2 linked regions of the Tamandua tetradactyla genome follow. The protein of the gene in region 2 interacts with the protein of the main gene of each other region in a pairwise test. Links are inferred from orthologs where the notes say so. Each region holds a gene or a part of one and is shown on either strand. Other genes may lie near its edges.

Evidence for each region. The genes of interacting proteins can lie anywhere in the genome.
Region 1: the proteins of VAMP5 (region 2) and ERGIC3 interact in binary tests that used the Homo sapiens proteins (3 or more experiments, as listed by UniProt). The link is inferred for Tamandua tetradactyla from reciprocal best matches to the Homo sapiens genes VAMP5 and ERGIC3.

Annotation. Positions count from the first base shown.
Region 1 is NC_135327.1:16,958,997-16,962,743, forward strand, and holds the start of ERGIC3 (endoplasmic reticulum-Golgi intermediate compartment protein 3), read right to left. Parts: upstream 2,660-3,747; 5' UTR 2,569-2,659; coding exon 2,481-2,568; intron 2,351-2,480; coding exon 2,280-2,350; intron 2,171-2,279; coding exon 2,083-2,170; intron 1,864-2,082; coding exon 1,744-1,863; intron 1-1,743. UniProt on the Homo sapiens protein: Possible role in transport between endoplasmic reticulum and Golgi. Positively regulates trafficking of the secretory proteins SERPINA1/alpha1-antitrypsin and HP/haptoglobin.
Region 2 is NC_135343.1:59,888,609-59,892,355, reverse strand, and holds the start of VAMP5 (vesicle-associated membrane protein 5), read right to left. Parts: upstream 2,285-3,747; 5' UTR 2,223-2,284; coding exon 2,202-2,222; intron 1-2,201. UniProt on the Homo sapiens protein: May participate in trafficking events that are associated with myogenesis, such as myoblast fusion and/or GLUT4 trafficking.

The DNA of each region.
Region 1 (3,747 bases), on a different chromosome or scaffold from region 2:
ACTCTCTCTCTTTGAAACTCTTTCTCTACTTGACCTCTGGGGCACCTCTTGTCCTCTCCTGCCTTGTGGCTAATACCTCTCAGAAAATGGATCCTCATTTTCTGACTTGTAAGTGCTGGAGTGGCCCAGAGTACAGTCCCTAGACTTCTCTACCTACATTCACTCCCTAGGTTTCCCCACTTGGCCTGATGGCTTTAAAGACCATCTATATTGCTGATGACTTCTAAATTTATTTCTCCAGCCCTACTCCTCTAAATTCCAAACCAAGTTAGTACATCCAATTGCTTCCTTAAAATCACTAGGGGAAAAAATAAGCATCCCCAACTTAACATGCCTCAGACCAGGTATCTCCTCCAATCCTGATGTTCCTCTGTGGGAGCCATCCTTCAAGATGTCTCAAATGGCCTCCACCTTCTGGCATTCACACCCCTGTGGAGTCCCTTCCCATAGGAATAAGGCTGACCTGGGAAACCAATAACAGTGCAGAAATGATGGTGTGCAACTTCTGCAATTAGGTCATAAAGGAAGTTGTGGTTCCTACCTTGCTCTCTCTTGGATCATTTACACAGGGCAAGCCAGCTGCCACCTCATGAGGACACTCAAGCAGCCCTACTGAGGGCCTCATGGGGTGAAGCACTGAGGTGTCCTGCCAACAGCCAAATGAGTGCACCCTCTTAGAAATGGATCCTCCGACCAGAGTCAAGCCTTCAGATGACAGCAATGCCATGAGACAGCTTGAACACAGCCTCACGAGAAACACTGAGCCAGAACCAACCAAACAAGCAACTCATAAATTCCTGACCCACAGAAACTATGAAAAAAATGTTTGTTGTTTTAAGTCACTAACTTTTAGGATAATCTGTTACACAGCAATGGTTTTGGAACATTCTTCCATTATGTCCCACCTTCACCCCCCCAAAAAACCTTCTCCTTTGGTCATCCCCATATCAAGTCATTCATTATCTCAGGCTAAAAGCTCTGGAATCATGTTTGACTCTATTCTCTACACCCCCTACATCCAATACTGCAGAAAATTTTGTTGGTCCTCAAAGTGTTCAACATATATTGTTAAAAGAATGATTGATAAAGCTCCTCACCAGAGCAATCCCTAGATTTTGAAAACTCCTAGTTTTCAAATTAGGTTGGGAGAGGGTTTTGCTATGATGGGAAATTGAGTTAACGGAGCCACTGGGAGGCAACCTAGAGAGAGGAAAGGAGCTAAATGTCAGCATCCACTCTGTACCAGGCATTTTATATATAATGCCTTATTTGATCCTAAATTCCATGTTGTGGCTACTACTGTTTTTATCACCATTTTATAACTGAGGCTCAGATTACAACAGATAAAGCTAGACAAGCACTCAGGCAGTTTGACTCTAGAGCCTAAACTCTTTGAGTCTCCTTACATTCCAAAGGGGAAGAGCATTAAGGACTGAATTTGGCCAGGGGGCTAAGGAAGCAAAGACTTAGGGAGGCTTGGGTGTATCTGGAGGAGTTCCACCAAGGCAACAGCACAAAGGGTCATTCCAAACTTCTGTTATTCAACTCACAACAGGCAGGGATTGGGGACCTCTGAGAATGAGGGCTGAATTTCAGTGCTCTCTAATTGAATACATGGGGGACCCTAGAAAAGCCTCTTGACCTTTCTGGGTCTTAGTTGCTTCACGGAGCCCATGTGCCAGGAAGTAGAGCTTGGGCATATCCAGTTCTGGGATTGAAGCCCTGGCCCCCTCCCCTGGTTACCATGCCGCTCTGCCTCTGAGCTCACGGGGATGCCATCCTTGTCCAGCCGTTGCTTGAACAGGTTGTGTTCCACATCAAGCTGCTGCTCCCCAGCCACATCCATGGCATCGATGCTCAGATCTGGAAGCAGGAAGTCGGGCTAAGGTACTGAGATCCTAGGGACAATGGTATCTGGGTTTTGGAGTGGAAAGGGCTGCTGGGTCTGACTTGGGGCAGGACTGGATCTGTGGGAGGAGGTTTGTTCCGGGGTCCAGTCCATAATTAAGGCAGGAGGTGTGAATCTGGATGCCCACTCGAGAACCCTGGGGCTAGCAATGCCACCCATGGTAAGGTACTCACAGGCACAAGGCATGTGCGGAAAAAACACATCGATGTTGATCTTCAGTTTATCCCCCCGCGACTTGTCCACATAGAGTTCAGGATGCACCTGGGGCAGCGATAGCTCAGCAAGGATGGGCCCTAAGCCTCTCCCACCTTCACAGGCCCCACCGCTAGAATGCTGAGCCCCGCCCAGGTACAGGACCCCGCCCCCTTACCTCTGTGGTGAGGTAATACTGCAGCTCGGACAGGAACAACAACAACATGAGAAGGCCACTGACAATGGTCACTGCAAGACGAGGGGCAAGGGTCAGGATTTTGCTTCTGTTCCGCTCCCTCAGCCCCGGGCAGGCCACAGGCGCCCGGGACAAGCTCTAGGGTCCCCCCATCTCCGCGACCCCGGCCCCTCCGCGGCCTACCCGTGGCGCCCCCGCAGGTCTTGACCCGGAAGTCCTCCAGAGTCTTGGGGTAGGCATCGAACTGCTTCAGCTTCCCCAGCGCCTCCATGGGGACCGGCCGGAAAAGGGATGCGAGCCGGCCCGCCCCTGCAGCCTCCCGCTTCCGCCGGAGCCGGGGCCACGCCCCCTCCCTTTCTGCACGCAGGCGCAGCAGTACGCACGCTCGGCCCTGCCTCCTCACTCGCGGTGTCACTCCGACCGCCCCGCCCACCAGGGTTTGCCACGCCCCTACGGGCCAGCTGCGTGGTCTTGACAGAACTCGGGAGGGGCTCTGTGGTCAGGGGATCCTTTGTGAACCGCGGTTCCTGAAGGAGGTCTCTGCTGCGTAGAAGCAGAAATAGCAGTTTGTGTGCCAGAAACTGCCCCGGGTGTTTCACATCGGACTCTTGAAACTTCTTGGGACGAACTAGAACAGTAGTTTTCAAAGCGTGGCCCCCAGACCAGGAACATCATTATCACCTGGGAAGTGGTTAGGTATGGAAAGGATCTGGCACCACCGAGAGATGGACTGAATCAGAAACGCTGGGAGTGGCACTCAGATGATTCTGATACACCTAAAGTAGAATCACCAACCTAGAATGTTGATGTGACTTTTATCTCCATTTTCTGCGGCCTGGAGAAGCTAAATAACCTGCCCAAGATAACAGCCAAATAAATGGCCAAGCCTGATTCTGATGAGGAATCCCATTTAAGGATATAAAAGCACCAGGTGGCTGGGTTGTGATTACAACCTACAATATTGTTTCTATCCCTTCCGTTCACATTTTTATTTTAAAACGCACCAAGTCATAAGGATATATGCATGGGATTGTCACTAAACAATCTCCCTGAACCATCCTGAATGCCTAGCAATAGGGAATGATTGAATAAAGCATAGCCCTTCCATTCAATGGAATATTATGCAGGCTTTCAAAAGAATGTGGTAGATTTACTTTTGAAGATATATCAAGAATAAATTGTGATTCAACCAGAAGACATGACAATCTTAAATATTTATGCACCAAGCCAGAGTGCTCCAAAATAAGTGAGACAAACACTGAAAAGAGAAATAGACACATCTACCATAATAGTTGGAGATTTCAATTCCCCACTCTCATCAATGGACAGAACATCTAGACAGAGGATCAATAAAGAAACAATTTGAATAATGCAATGAATGAACTAGACTTAACAGACATTTATAGAACATTACATCCCACAACAGCAGGGTACACCTTCTTCTCAAGTG
Region 2 (3,747 bases):
TTGTGTGACATAGTAAATAACATCATAGTATAAAGCCTGGCACATACTAAATGGGCAATAAATAGTAACTATTACTGTCATTATAGCCCAAGCTTTCCCTTGCTTTTAAGCAGTCAGATCCCAAGTACTGAATGATATGTTGACTTGGGCCAGTCAAAATATACAACCAAGCAAGGCCTGGCTTCATGCCAACTTGTGTACTCCTTGTACTAATCTAAATGCAGAGCTTTAAGTGGGCCTTGATAACCTGCCTCTTTAGCTTCATCAGGCATGGTGGGCTGCTGAGAGGTTTCACGTCTGAAGCAGTAATAATGACCACGATTCCGGGGTCACCTGCTGTGTGCTAAGCCGCTAGGTGCTTATTCACTTTATCTGATTTAAGCCTTACACCAACCCACTGAGAACCGTATCATTGTCCCAATTTTATAATAAACTGAGGCCCAGAGAGGTTAAATCACCTGCCCAAGGTCACCGGGCAAGTGAAGATCTGGGATTTGAACCAACATAGACTCCAGAGATCAAGCTCCAGAGATTCTTGATCCCTGTGGTAAACTGGATGCAGGTAAGGGAGGTAAAATGCTTTTGCTGCCTGGCTAAAGACACACCAGAGCTTCTGATGCTGCCAGCTCAATGTGGGTGCATATGAGGAAGGCTTGTGGTTCCAAACACAAATTCTCTAGGCTGGGCGTGAGAGGGGACCATTTATTTTCAAGGTGAAGGAATTCAGGAAATTACTTACTCTTTTCCATCTTCCCCACCACTGTTCCTACTCTATCCCTTACATCTGCCACCATGCCTGGCACAGAGGAAATGCCCAGGAAATAAACTGTTGATGGAATGAGGCATAAGGAAGAAGGGAACGGAAAAAGGACCAGGCAGTACACAGGGATGAGATGCAGGAAAGGAAAGAGCTGGCGCAAGAGGCAAAGAAGAGAAGAGGGATGGGTAGGGGCGAGGCTCTGACCCATTGTTTGCCATAAACAAACCTTCCAGAGTACCAGGGTTTTCTGATACTGCCGAATAAATGACCCTGGCCTCAGCCTGTACTTCCGGAGGTTCCTTTCTCTTCCCCAGGGGCTTAGGGCTGGCTGAAGGCCCACCCCCCGCGTGACTGCCCCCTTGCCCTGCATATTCAGAAGCCGGTTCTGGGCTCTGTCTGGGCTCTGTCCCATGCTCACCGCCTCCTTTGGTTTCCTGGCATGGCCGTCCTAGCTCTGCACTACCTTCCTGCCCCACGTCCTCTTCCTGTCTCCAGATCCCTGGAGCTGCGGCCATCCAGGCGTCAGGACCCTCAGCCAGGCCACATCCATCACATCTCCACCAGCTTCTCCAAGGCAGAATCCTCTAGCTCTGGAATTTGGGGGTGGGGGGTGGCAGGGAGGATAGGCATGGCAGAGAAAACCAGCACCAGCTGTCCCTGACACCTCTGCCTTGGAAATGACCCGGGTGGGGTGGGGCAGAAGCCTTAATCTGCAGTAGGGGAAGGGGATGACTCACCTTTGGAATGTGTCCCTAGGTAGACATTAGGAAGGGAGTCAGGTCTGTGCCACACTCTGATAACTTCAGTGGAACTTTCACAAGTAATTACTTTTCCTTTTGTTTTCCCCCAGGAAAGGAGTTTGTCCTCCAGTACCCTGCCATGGGCTGACGCAGCCGTAACCACCCCATCTACTCAAATTTCCAACTTGGACCAGGTTTGGCTCTCACAGCTCCAGGAAGGGCCAAAGAGGTCATCACATTACCTTCCAACCTCGTGGGAGGGAGTTGTGAGACTAAGCAGATCTCTGTCCTTATATCTCATTTAACCTCGCAAAACCCCAGCAAGGTGGGGACTGCTGAGCCCACTTCACAGTTGCGGAAAAGAATACTGGAAGCTAAGTGACGCGCCTGGGCCACAGCGCTGGATAGCGGCCGCGGGTAGGATCTCAGCCCGGGTCTAACTCCAAAGTCCGTGCTCGCAGCCACTTTGCTCACCCCGCGTGGGGCAGCCTGGACGGGACGCAAGCCTCAGTCTCCCTTCCAGGCTGCGTGCCGGGAGGGCACAGTCCGGTCCCGGTCCTGCGGTCCCCACCCCTAGTCACCTCGCTGGGTCGGCCGGGCACCACGGCCGGAAGACGGCCCGGTTCTTGGACTTGGGACTCCTGGATCCCACCCGGCCCGCCGCGACGCGCGCCCCCCGCCCCCGCGGGCAGCCTCCTCACCATCGCCTCCGCCGCAGCCATGCAGACCCGCTCCCGGCTCCTCTGCCCGCCGAGGGCTGCAGCGCCCGCCGCCAGGGAGGAAGCGGAGGGGCGGGGCGGGGCCGGACCGCGGGGGCGGGGGGCGCGCCTTCACGCGCCGAGCCGCCACCGCGACCTGGCCCTGTTGAAAGGCACTTTCCTCCCGGGCGTCAGCACCCATCTTAGCGGGTTGGGAGCTACGCCCGACCAGCCTGGTGGCAGGTGATATGAGCAGGGCGGAGTGGGCCCCGGGAGCCGTCCGTGGAGCTGCGTCCCGGGTAGGGGGGATCGGATTGAGCTAGGGGGGCGTCACGCATTCATTCCGCAAAGGGTCTGCACGCATTCTTCGAGGTGCGGGACATGGCCATGAACAAGCCAGGCGGGGGGCTCTGCGACCTTGGGCCTGTGCATCCCATCGTTAACCAAACACGCACTACCCCTCCTCCCCGCCCACACACACGTGGGGAAATGCTAACTTTAGTTTTTCTGTGTTTCCCCTCCTCACCACAGAGGTCAAGTGCAACCCTGCCCTGACATGACCGCCGTTCAGTCGGTAGATGGGGTGAGACTGGCATGTCTGCTGCCTCTCCAGAGCCTTCCTGAGCTGAACGCACCCATCCTCTCCTCTGGCTGCCGCAGAAAAATCAGCAACCATCAATCAGTCTCCCACCCACCTCGTGCCACAACCTACACCTCAAATAAGTCCCCTCCGGGGAAAGTGAGTTGACAGCTTCTCTACCTTGGGTTGAGCCCCTGAGAGCACAGAAGCTCCACCCCAAGAGGGTTCCCCTCTCCCACCCCTCCCTGACCACCTGGGACCCAAGGACTCCTGGACCTGGAATCCAGGAGTGGACTGAAGATGGAGACAGTCATGGGAAGGACCGCCCTGGAGGTCTCTTCTGTGCTTTCTTTCTCCCTCTCTCTGGATTAAGAAGCTTGATATCAGAACCTGAATTGCCAATACCAGTCCCAAATCCTACCTCCTGTCCCTGCCTCTTCCCCACTAACCCCTCCCCCCCAAAACAGGTTGTTTTTCATTCTGGAAAACCTAAGGAACTGAATTGGAACAGAAATGACAAGACTCCTCCCCCCAAACAGGGCAGTGACAATGATGGTAGGACCTGGTGGGGAGGAGGGAGGCCCAAGGACAGAGGTCCATTGTGTATGGAGGGGTGGGGGCAGGGCTACAGGCCCTGTCCTGTGACACTGACTGTGCCCAGCCATGAGACTCGAGGGAGAGATGCTCATCCCCTCAGAAAAGCTGAGACCCCTAGGCCCTGCTAAATCCCGGAAGGGCTGGGATAGACAAAAGACAAATGACCTGCAGAACCACAAGACAAGGAAAATCAGTCCAGATCTTCCCATTCTCAGTTCTAGATGCAACAGAGGAAAGATGGTGAAGTGGGAGGAGGCCCTAATCCAGATGCCTACATGCTCTCCCCACGGAGACTTCATATCAATGCTAGCACTTCCAGCAGGACCCAAGGGGAACACTCAGTCCACTCTAAAAAACTATGAAGGTTTAGAA